3 linked regions of the Oryctolagus cuniculus genome follow. The protein of the gene in region 1 purifies or fractionates together with the protein of each later gene. This does not show direct contact. Links are inferred from orthologs where the notes say so. Each region holds a gene or a part of one and is shown in the gene's direction. Other genes may lie near its edges. The genes, in order: KHDRBS1, PLCG1 and LCK.

Region 1 (4,100 bases):
CAAGGGTCATTTATGTGACCTTAAACTACTATACCAGACACACAACACACATGCCCCACCACCATCACCACCACGGTAGTTTAAAAAGTTGAAGGAAAAATGGAAGTAAAATATATTTGGGTAGGTACAAAAAATTTCGAAATCTATGCAAAAAGTCTTTAAAAATGCAACATTACAAGGATCTCGAAATTGTTTTGCACCAGATTTGTTCCCATGAACTTTTTGACATACCCTCATGTATTTTTATTTATATAACCCATAATCTGTACAAAATTTTTTATGTATTTTGTACTTTATACGTATAATTTATGGATATTAGCGTTTTGTTCTCATTTTAGTAAAAAAACGTAGCCAAGCCTTTATGTTCCCTCATTAAAGGGGTCTGAGCTTCAAATCCAGAAATCACGTTTCCAAGCACCCAGCAGGCAGTTTCCAGAGACGCTTTTGAAAGTCGCGAGCTCATTTAGGAAACAGATCCGGAAGGAAAAGGGATGGAAGGAGTACTCTGAATGGGTGAAGAAAAAAAAAAAAAAAAAAAACCTGCGGCCGGAAGGGAAAGTTAGAGACGCGCCAGGCGTTCGATGACTGATAGTAGAGACCCGGGCTCCCCCGCACGCAGCTCCCAGACCCGAGCCGGCCTCGGGCGAGAGATCCGCTGCCCAAGGCCCTCGCCTCAGCACGGCCGCCTGAGACCCGGCCTCTGCTCACTCCGCGAAATAACCGCTTCAAGCGGGAAGCAGGCTGCGACACGGACGGACTTCCCCGACTAACCACGGCTAGCGTGTCAGAACCTAGTGTGCGGGAAACCTCGGGACAGCACGGGGCTCCCTGCTACGCTTCAGGTCTCCGCCCTCTCAGTTCAAGTCTCCCAGTCAGCCGGCCGTCCCCAGCGCCACCACGCATCCCGGCGTCAGCCTCTCCCTGCGCCTCCCTCCCCGCGTGCCCCACGCAGCCAGCACGTCTTCACGCCGGTGGCCGGCCCACACCCCCCGCCCGGCTCCGCGGCTCGGCCGTTGGAGGGGGCGTGGCCCACGAGTAACAGGTCTCCCCCCCACCTCCGCCCCACGCTCGCCGCCGGCCCGCGCTCAGACAAAGACATTCCACAGCCCCCGCCCCCTCCGCGCACCCGGTCCGAAGGGGGAGGAGACACGTGTCCCGCTAGCGCCGAGTCACGTGGGAGAAAAAACGAACGGAGCCCGCGGCCGTCCGCGCACGCGCGCCAAGCTCCGGCCTGGCGGGCTCCGAGGGAAAAGAGGAGGGGGGAGGCCTCCGGTTCGGGCACCACGGCAGTGCGCAGGCGCCGTGGCCCGACTGGGGACTTTGTTCTTCGCGGAGAAACCCAAGGGCGGTGCCGGGATTTGGTGCGCACGCGCGCTGCCTCATTTCCGGTGCTCTCTCTGGCTGGGTCGCTCGGGTCGGCTTCGGTCGCTGTTGCTCCCGCTCTACCACCGCCGCCGCCAACCGCCGCCCGGGCCTCGGCCGCGTCGGTCCCCTCGATCGCTCGATCGCACATCCTCCGCGATGCAGCGCCGGGACGACCCCGCCGCGCGCATGACCCGGTCCTCGGGCCGCAGTGGCTCCATGGACCCCTCGGGTGCCCACCCCTCGGTGCGTCAGACGCCGTCTCGGCAACCGCCGCTGCCTCACCGGTCCCGGGGAGGCGGAGGAGGGCCCCGGGGGGGCGCCCGGGCCTCGCCCGCCACGCAGCCGCCGCCACTGCTGCCGCCCTCGGCCACGGGTCCCGACGCGACGGTGGGTGGTCCGGCGCCGACCCCGCTGCTGCCCCCATCAGCCACGGCCTCGGTCAAGATGGAGCCTGAGAACAAGTACCTGCCCGAACTCATGGCCGAGAAGGACTCGCTCGACCCGTCCTTCACTCATGCCATGCAGCTGCTGACTGCAGGTGAGCGGGCCTCGGGGTCCCTCGGGGTCGCTGGACCACCGGGGCGGGAGGGGTGCGGGAGGAGGTTGGCAGCGGCTTTGTTCCTCTGGCATCCCAGTCCCTCGGGACCGTGGCGGTCGGGAGCTCCCCCTCTGGCCCTCGTCTTCGGGGGCCTGAAGCCCGCCTTCCCACCCCGGCGCAGGGTTGCTGCGGGCGCCCGAAAGCGACTGGGAGATCTCCGAGCGCCGAGCTCCCCGCCCCCTTCCCGACCCTCCCCCTCCCTCCTCTCGCAGCTGCCCCGCGCTCCGAGTGCTCAGATTCTTCCAGAAATGAGCCCGTATCTCCCGCGTCCCCCCCGAGGGGAAGGCTCTTGGGTGGCGGGGAGCGCCTCGGCCGTGGGTGTCGGCGCTGCAGGCAGCCCGAGCCGGCGGGGATCGTGGGAGGCCGGAGGGCCCTGGCCGGCGCGCGGGCGTCTCGCGGGCCCGGCCGCACTTGGCCGTCACGGGAGCTGGAGTTGCGCCGAGGCACAGCGACTCGTGGGAGTCGGAGCTTGAGGTTTTCCGAATCAGATGTCCGAATCGGGCAGGTGAAATGAGGATTGTGCAGAGCCGGAAGGTTGTCGCCGTTTTATTTTACAACGTGCTTTCAACCGTCATTCAAGAAGCGGGGAAGCAGCCCTGGGGACAGTGAAATGAGATGACGGGAGGCGGTAAGGGCTGCAGGGGAGCTCCCAGGACGGGCCCCACCGCGAGGGACGGACCGTGGAGAGAAGTTGCTCGGTGCCTGCACCTGGAAGACTTGGCCTTTTGTGTTCATTCTTGCTTCCGTGGCGAGATAGATGGGAATGGTAGTCTTTGTTCTCCGCGGACGGGAGCTTCTTCCCTCGGCAGCCCTGACCCCCTCCCTAATCGCTCTGATTTCTCACTGCAGCCTCTTTTTGACCTTTTCTTATAGTTAGAAATGTTTTTCAAAGAAATATTTATTATACCTAAATGGTAGAGTAACAGTTCATGGCCTTCGACGCTGAATGAGAAGTCGGAGCCATTGACAAGATTGATACAAGGGACAGTTCATTGACAGTTCATTATGAAAATCTCATTTCCTTCCCTTTGTTCTCTCTCCCAACACTGGTAAGGGTTTTTTTTTTTTTTTAACGCAATAAACAATTAGAAAATTTCGATAAATTGCTTAAGATCTTTAACTCAGTTCTGTGCTGTCCTATATAACCACATTCTACTTTTCCTGTTTTCTTCTGACAGGCTCTTTGAGAGCAAGAATTGCTTTTTATATTTAAACATGTTTTTTGGTACTGTGCTGGACATAGCAAACTCCAGGTGTTTGAAAATGTACACATGCAAACTCAGGAATGTCAGACTAATTGGTAAAGTTTGGTTTAGCAGTCGGATTTTTAATTTTCTCAAATCTTCAGGCAGTACGCATTGCATTAAACGCAGGAGAATAAAGTACACTTTAGAGCCTAAAGGTGTTGACTTGGTTCTCAGCGCTGGCCCTTAATTAGTTACCGGCTCTGGGGAAGCTTTCTGAACCTCAGTAACCTCATTTGTAAAGTGGATGGTAAGTTTGGAAGATTAAATGATCTGTAAAATCACCAGCAGTTTCTTTTGATCTGTATCATTAGCTAGAAGAAGCTGTCACCACAATTTTTTTCTGGTTGTGAATCCATGGTAATGAACAAGGTATGAGAACTTAAGATATATTTTGCCCTTCTGACTATCTCCATTGCCCAGCGTGATGTTCATCTTTTAAGATAGTTTCTTAGGATAACCATTAAAAATCATTGATCCTTAAAGATTATTTATATTTTTCATTCTCTCACTGCTCCTTATTTTTTTTCAAACTTGGGCTTTTTTAATGCCTTTTTTTTTTAACCTAAAGAGGATGGAAATATTGAGAACAAAATTGGGTTGTGTGGATACTTCTTAGCATAGAAAAGTCTTAATGTTTGTTGGATATGGTTCTTAAGGTATTTCTAGAGAAGAGATTACAGTGAAGTCAACCAATCATAAGGAAATGAGACTGAGAAGAAAGAATAGTGTTTAATCCCTGAGAACATATATTAGAAAAACAGCTAACGTTGTGTCAGGCCCTGGATTAGAGCACTTTACATATTCATGACAACACTAGAAGTTATTCTTTTTTTTTTTTTTTTAATTTATTTGACATGTAGAGTTTACAGACAGTGAGAGAGACAGAGAGA
Region 2 (3,642 bases), on another chromosome or scaffold:
AGAAGTTGGGGCTAGAGATACTAACTTGGGACTGTGAAGGTGCTGTGGAGAGCCATGGTGGCAGCTGATAAGATCACCCAGAGGCAAGTGGCAAGAACAGGGATGCCAGCCCATCTCAGAGATTGGGGATGAATGGCGGCTAGTGTGAGCTAGTAAGAGGAAAATGGTATTGAATTCTGGCAGCCTGAGGGAAGACTGTGACATGACCCTTGGGTCAAACAGCATGGTGGGAGAGCAGCATCAGCAGAATGGTGAGGGCTCCAGGCGTGAAAGGGGGCTTGGGAAACTACTTCTGGAAGTTTGTACCGCAGAGGGGAACAGGGAGAGGTAAGCAGGGCAAGACCTGTCTTTTGGTGGGAGACAACAGACGGTTAACATGCTGATGGGAACAGTCCACAGGGAAGCTCTGGTGGCACAAGCCTTTTAGATAAGAAGGCATCTCGTTCCTTACCAGAAACTCGAAACCCTGACAGCTTTTACCTCTTGGGACTGAGGGTCAGATGAGGCTCAGCCATACTGGACCCCTGTGGAGAAGCCGAGTTCCCTCTGGTTTTACTGCTGCCTATCGGGCTATCTCCACATTTCAGAAGAGAAATCCTTTTTCTCCCATCTTGTCCATCCTGTTGCCAGGTCCAACAATATCCCCTGGCTCTCCCATCCTGCACAGGGTACCCTGGAGGGCAGGGATGCTTGCTCTCTAGAGTTCCTTTCCCATCCGACACCAGGAAAGTACCCAGTCACCAGCAGTTTCTCTGAGTGTGCCTATCCCCTCCTCCCATATTCCTTGCACTGTGGCACTGGGTGCTGATGGGGCTTGGGGATAATATGCTCCGAGGAGCAAACTCCCAGCATCCCATCATCCCACTGCTGAGCTACCCCTTGTAGGGAATTTGCCAGTGAGCCCTCCCTTGTGCCCTGCAGGGGCCAGCTGGCACCTGGAGAGCTGGAGGTACAGGCTTCAGCAGTACTGCAAGGAGGGGAGGCCAGGGGTTTGATTTTTCCCTCCTGTTAGGCCTGACCTGTTTTACTGAGCCTGGCCACTTCCTCATTGTCAGAATCATGGAATTTTCTTTGCTCATATGAGGCAACTGAGGCCCAGAGAAGGAAGAGACTTCCCTTGTCCACCTTGTGGGTTCTGATTCAGTCTCGTGCCCAGGATTCCAGATTCCCAGAGTAGTACTGATTACCTATCCAGCCCCAGGTGGGTTGGCCCACACATCAGAGGCCCCTGAGGACACACCTGTTTTCTCAGTATTTCAGCCAAAGACCTGAAGAACATGCTGTCCCAGGTCAACTACCGGGTCCCCAACATGCGCTTCCTCAAGGAGCGGCTGACGGTAAGGACCTCCTGGAGCTGTCTGCAGGGGAGGGGCCAGGGTGGCCAGAAGCCTTTGGCTGGGTGCCTGACTAGCCATCCTGCTCTGTACTGTGTAGGACCTGGAGCAGCGCAGTGGGGACATCACCTACGGGCAGTTTGCTCAGCTGTACCGCAGCCTCATGTACAGCGCCCAGAAGACGGTGCATGAGCCACCTACCCTCCCCTGCCCTGCCCTGCCTCTCCACTCCATCCTCAGCCCTGCTTGCCTCAACCCTGCTGCCCTGCTTGGGGGCTTTTGGGTGCCATTTCTCTAGCCTTTCTTCTCCTGAGGTCTGTCCCTTGCTGCCCCAGCCTCTCTTCCTAAGAGGCCGTTTCCTGTGAGGCCCCCAAGGACTTGCACCCTGACCAGGTTCTGTTTCCTGCAGATGGATCTCCCCTTCTTGGAAGCCAGCGCCCTGAGGTTTGGTTCGGAGTGGGGAGGTGGGGTTCTTTCCTGGGCCTCCCTCATCTCTGTCATGGGTACTTCCTAATCCATGTGAAAAGGGTGAGCCATGCTAGACTACTCTGGGTAGCTATGCTGGCTGGGAGTTGGCCTCTGCCTTCCAGGGGGCCCCTAGCTGTTAGCAGTGCTAGCCAACTGGCTGCCAGGCACTTACCATTTCTCTCCCTGCAGGACAGGGGAGCGACCAGATCTTTGCCGAGTGACCCTTCCTGAGTTCCAGCAGTTCCTCCTTGAGTACCAGGGGGTATGGCAGGGCTGGGGCTGGGCCAGGGTATCAGGCTTCAGGGCTGGGTTCATCCCTGACCTGAGGCCTCTCCCATGCCTTCCCTTTGTTCCCCTCCCTGTCAGGAGCTATGGGCCATTGACCGGCTCCAGGTACAGGAATTCATGCTCAGCTTTCTCCGGGACCCCTTGCGAGAGATTGAGGAACCATACTTCTTCCTGGATGAGGTGGGCTTCACTGTTATCTCTTTATGTCAGGGCGGGGGGTGGTGGTGACCAGAAGCCCAACTGAACCCCAAGAGCCAGCTTCTCAGAGATTCCTCCTTGTTACACCTGAAATCCACCTTGACCACCCCAGCTGAGGCTGAGTGACCTCTCTTCCACCCCTGTTCACCATCCCGGGGCCAGGCAGGGGCTCACTTTGTCTTCCCTTCCACATTTGTTTTGGACAGTTTGTCACCTTCCTGTTCTCCAAAGAGAACAGTGTGTGGAACTCCCAGCTGGATGCAGTGTGCCCAGACACCATGAACAACCCTCTCTCCCACTATTGGATCTCATCCTCACACAACACGTGAGTGTGGCTCCCTCAGCCCCACTCTGCCCTCTCTCGAGGAAGAGGAGCCCACCTGACCACACCCACTTCTTGCCTATCCAGGTACCTGACTGGGGACCAGTTCTCCAGCGAGTCCTCCCTGGAAGCCTATGCTCGGTGTCTGCGGATGGGCTGTCGCTGCATTGAATGTGCGTGGGGGCCAGGACCTGGGAGGGGGAAGGTGCGAGGCCTGCCCCTTTGACTGTGATAATGTTGCTTCCCAGTGGACTGCTGGGATGGCCCAGATGGGATGCCAGTCATTTACCATGGACACACCCTTACCACCAAGATCAAGTTCTCAGATGTCCTGCATACCATCAAGGAACATGCCTTTGTGGCCTCAGAGTGAGTGGAGAGGGGGTCCTCCTGGTGAACCCGGCCCCTAACTCTGACTCCTGGGACAGAGGGACCCCCTCATACCCATCCCCACTCCCCTCTCCTTCCTCTTGGCCTGCCCTCCTCTCCTTGCTCTATTTTCCTGTTAATTCCTGTTTCCTGCATCCTTGGCCCACATGGTTCCTGGCCTTTCTCTTCAACCTGAGGAACACATTTTAGCTCTTCTCAGTGTTAACCCTGGTCTCTTTATGCCAGTGACCTGCCAGTTTCTTTACTTCATAGCCTAGGGAATTACCTACATTCACTGTATCCCATTCCTAGATTCTTATTTACCACCTAACCTGTGGTCACTTGTGTCTCGCCTCACTCAAGGAATCACCAGTGGTCCCCGATAGCTAAATTAGGAGGTCTCTTACCTATTCTGACCTCTTCAGTGTAGGATATCTGCACTGCTGGGCAATCTGTGTAATTGGATTAACTGGGAACTACTTCTGTGCAGCTATTGCTACCCCAAGGCTTCCCCCTGAAAAACCCCTTCTACTTGCCAGTGGTTGTGGTCTATCTTTTCCATAGACAAGGTCCTCAGGCCCTTGTTTCCCAGTATCTTAGTCTGTAAGGGGCTGTTTGGACTGAGCCCTGGATCAGCAGAATTGCAGTGTCTGTGTCCCTGCA
Region 3 (3,642 bases), about 220 kb from region 1:
AACCAAGCTAACATTTATGGATGCTCATTAGAAGGGGACGATCCCATTTGAAAGAAGAGGAAAGTGAGGCTCAGGAAGAAGGGTTTCGGCAAACAGCACAGTGTCAGAGCAGGCATTTGAACTTCAGTCTCTCCAACTCTGGGCCTATCTCCTGATTCTCGCTGACCAGAAACTTCCAGCGCTCCCTCCCTCCACTTAGATCCTGGACGGGTTAGCAGCTCCGGTTCTGCTCTCCCCACACAGGTTGTGTGACCTTAGGCAGGCCTCTCTGGCCTAGGGTTGCTCAAATAAAAACAGATGTTAGGCTGGATGGCTTTTTTTTTTTTTTTTTTTTTTTTTTTGACAGGCAGAGTGGACAGTGAGAGAGAGAGAGACAGAGAGAAAGGTCTTCCTTTGCCGTTGGTTCACCCTCCAATGGCCGCCGCGGCTGGCGACTGGGACTAGAACCTGGTGTGCCGGCGCCACAAGGTGGAGGATTAGCCTAGTGTGCCGCGGCGCCAGCCGCTGGATGGCTTCTAAGACCTTTGTGAGTTTAACCCTCCACATGCCAACTGGCATTGATGAATGTGTATGGGGGGGGGGGCTTTCAGGCAAGTGAGTCCCCACCCAGCCTCATCTAAGGGGTGGGGCTGACCCATCAACGAGTCATATGGAACTCAGGGCCCAAGTTGAGGACTGTGGTCTGAGGATTTACAGGAGCCTGGGGCGAGTGGAGAATGCAGAGCCGGGCAAGGCCTCACAGAGTAGGCCAAGGGCCGGGAGAACCTGGAGGGTCCAATTAGAATTCAGCAGGAAGACAACCGAGCATTCCAAGGCAAGCAGAACCAAAGGTACCAGCACTCGAACAAAGATTGCAGCGGGGGTGGGGGAGGCATTGTGGCAGTGGCAGGTAAAGCTGCCCCTTGCAGCGCCGCCTCCCATATGGGCACCGGTTTAGGTCCTGGCTGCTCCACTTCCCAACAAGCTCCCTGCTGATGGCCTGCGAAAAGCAGGAAAGCTGGCCCAAGTGCTGTGGCCCCTACACCCTCACGGGAGACCTGGATGGGGCTCCTGGCTCCTGGCTTTGGTTGTTGTGGCCATCTGGGGAGTGAACCAGCAGATGGAGGATCTGCCTCTCCTTTCTGTAACTCTGACTTTCAAATAAATAAATATGTCTTTAAAGAAAGAAAGAAGGAAGGAAAGAGAGAGAGAAAGAAAGAAGCATTGGGTATTTGGGAAAGGCAAGAGTAGTTCAGAACACAGGACGTGTGTGTGTGTGTGTGTATAGCAGAACAAACTGAGAAGGTGGATTTGGTCTTGGTATTAAAGGGTCTTGCATACATAGTAAATTAAACTTTGAGGACTAGTTTTTAAAATTTTGCCAGCGCCATGGCTCACTAGGCTAATACTCTGCCTGCGGCACTGGCACTCCGGGTTCTAGTCCTGGTCAGGGCGTCGGATTCTGTCCCGGTTGCTCCTCTTCCAGTCCAGCTCTCTGCTGTGGCCCGGGAGGGCAGTGGAGGATGGCCCAGGTGCTTGGGCCCTGCACCCGCATGGGAGACCAGGAGGAAGTACCAGGCTCCTGGCTTCAGATTGGCACACGGGGCCAGCTGTAGCTGCCATTTGGGGGGTGAACCAATGGAAGGAAGACCTCTCTCTGCTCTCTCTCTCTCACTGTCTAACTCTGCCTGTCAAAAAAAAAATTATTTTATTTATAAAAAAGATGCAGATAGGGGAAAAGAGACAGAGGCAGAGAGAGACACAAAGAGATCTTCCACCTGCTGGTTCATTCCCCAAATGCCTGCAACAGCCAGGGCTTGGGCAGGCTGAAGCCAGGAGCCAGGAACTCGATCCAGGTCTCCCAACGTGAGTGACAGGGACCCAGGTGCCTGAGTCATCTGCTGTCTCCCAGGGTGCACATTAGCAGGAAGCTAGAGTGGACGGTGGGGCCAGGACTCGAACCCAGGCACTCTGATATGGGAAGCGAGTGTGCCACGCAACAGCTTAGCCATCTCTCCACACGCCCACTGCAGGGCCTGGGGTTTTCCAAGCGGTTCTCAGGAGCAGGGAAGGTGCGGCCTGAGGGCTCCTAGGGGCCTTGGAGTGGGGCCGCCACGCTGCCCTGCCGCAGGAAGATCCGCTGGCTCTGACCGGCTTTATTTGTGGTGTTCTGCTTGCTTTCAACTGACAAAAGTTTCCACTGCTGTAACAGGCAAACAAACAAAACAAGTTATGGCCAACAGGGCCCCTGAAGGGTTTTCGTGTAGGAACTCTGTGAGGCTGACCGCGTGGGTGTGTGGGGAAGCAGGGCCTGCCTGTCAACACCGGGGAGAGAGCGGAGAGAGGCTCAGCTTCCTTGCCTGCAAGGGCAATTGTATTTGAGGTGGGGGTGGTAGGGGACCCAGGGCTCCCCCAGGGCTCCGGGGAGTTTGTGTGATCTCCAGGAGGTAGTCCCCCAACGGCAGAGGGAGGAAGTGGGTAACTAGACTAACAAAGGTGCCTGTGGCAGTTTGCCCATCCCAGGTGGGAGGGCGGGGCCTCTGGCTCAGCCTGGGGAGCCTCGGGTGCGTGCTGTTCCGTGTGGCCCCTGGGGCTCCCCCCCAGTCAGGAGCGAGGGTCCCCCGTCTCAGCTTTTCTGTAGCTGATGGATGGGGGCCCAGGAGCTGAGCATCTCACGGTCCTGGGGAAATGCCTGACGCTGGGGGAGCCCTGTCAACCCCCTCTCCATTCTCCCAGGGACCATGGGCTGTAGCTGCAGCTCAAACCCTGAAGATGACTGGATGGAAAACATCGACGTGTGTGAGAACTGCCACTACCCCATAGTCCCACTGGAAGGCAAGGCCACGGTAAGAGGCCAGGCAGGGGCCGCGGTGAGGGAGTTGGGAGGAGCACACAGCAGAGGGAGAAACGGACCACCATTGTCGGTCCTGTAAATCAGAGGGTGGCCCTGCCTGGATGCGGAAACAGAGGGGTCCAGAGAGGGGAAGGGACTCTTCGAAGGTCACAAGGCAAGCGGTTGTCCAGTTCAGGGGCGAGACCGTGCCAGACTGGAGAAGCAGAGGCGAGCAAGGCAGGGGGAGGCAGTCAGAGGCTGACCCGGCCTTCTGCCCTCTTACCCCCACCCCACAGCTGCCCATCCGGAACGGCTCTGAGGTTCGGGACCCACTGGTCACCTATGAAGGTTCAAACCCTCCGGCATCCCCACTGCAAGGTAACGGAAACCAGCGGGGCCTAGAAGATAAGACCTGTGGATCCTTGGCTCCCTAGTCCTCCCCACCCACCTCTGCCCTGTCCCGCCCCTCTCTTCCTTGTCCCCTGCCCTGTGACTCCAGAACTCCGGTACCTACTCCCTGCCTGTCCCAGGCCACTGCCTCCAGCCCCCTTGTCTTTACAGACAACCTGGTTATCGCCCTGCACAGCTATGAGCCCTCTCACGACGGAGACCTGGGCTTCGAGAAGGGTGAACAGCTCCGTATCCTGGAGCAGTGAGTGCCCCCTCCCCACCCACACATCCTGCAAGGGCGGGGATCCCTCCTGTGGACCCCTGACTGGGTCCGGGTGGGCGTCCTTGGGAAGCTCCGGGGCGCTGGCCCGGCGCGACTGGGGGTCGTGAGAAGGGTCTCCAGCGAGTCCATGGCTGGCCGCGCTGATAGCCTCTGTGGC

Evidence for each region.
Region 2: the proteins of KHDRBS1 (region 1) and PLCG1 purify together in Homo sapiens (affinity purification with western blotting; 7 studies listed by BioGRID and IntAct, with this or other methods). This does not show direct contact. The link is inferred for Oryctolagus cuniculus from reciprocal best matches to the Homo sapiens genes KHDRBS1 and PLCG1.
Region 3: the proteins of KHDRBS1 (region 1) and LCK purify together in Homo sapiens (affinity purification with western blotting; 5 studies listed by BioGRID and IntAct, with this or other methods). This does not show direct contact. The link is inferred for Oryctolagus cuniculus from reciprocal best matches to the Homo sapiens genes KHDRBS1 and LCK.

The regions. Positions count from the first base shown.
Region 1 is NC_091438.1:140,421,318-140,425,417, reverse strand, and holds the start of KHDRBS1 (KH domain-containing, RNA-binding, signal transduction-associated protein 1), read left to right. Parts: upstream 1-1,300; 5' UTR 1,301-1,521; coding exon 1,522-1,903; intron 1,904-4,100. UniProt on the Homo sapiens protein: Recruited and tyrosine phosphorylated by several receptor systems, for example the T-cell, leptin and insulin receptors. Once phosphorylated, functions as an adapter protein in signal transduction cascades by binding to SH2 and SH3 domain-containing proteins.
Region 2 is NC_091442.1:17,778,244-17,781,885, reverse strand, and holds part of PLCG1 (1-phosphatidylinositol 4,5-bisphosphate phosphodiesterase gamma-1), read left to right. Parts: intron 1-1,252; coding exon 1,253-1,337; intron 1,338-1,434; coding exon 1,435-1,518; intron 1,519-1,743; coding exon 1,744-1,778; intron 1,779-1,991; coding exon 1,992-2,064; intron 2,065-2,168; coding exon 2,169-2,270; intron 2,271-2,494; coding exon 2,495-2,613; intron 2,614-2,697; coding exon 2,698-2,783; intron 2,784-2,858; coding exon 2,859-2,979; intron 2,980-3,642. UniProt on the Homo sapiens protein: Mediates the production of the second messenger molecules diacylglycerol (DAG) and inositol 1,4,5-trisphosphate (IP3). Plays an important role in the regulation of intracellular signaling cascades.
Region 3 is NC_091438.1:140,199,675-140,203,316, reverse strand, and holds part of LCK (tyrosine-protein kinase Lck), read left to right. Parts: intron 1-2,715; 5' UTR 2,716-2,720; coding exon 2,721-2,825; intron 2,826-3,108; coding exon 3,109-3,190; intron 3,191-3,373; coding exon 3,374-3,464; intron 3,465-3,642. UniProt on the Homo sapiens protein: Non-receptor tyrosine-protein kinase that plays an essential role in the selection and maturation of developing T-cells in the thymus and in the function of mature T-cells. Plays a key role in T-cell antigen receptor (TCR)-linked signal transduction pathways.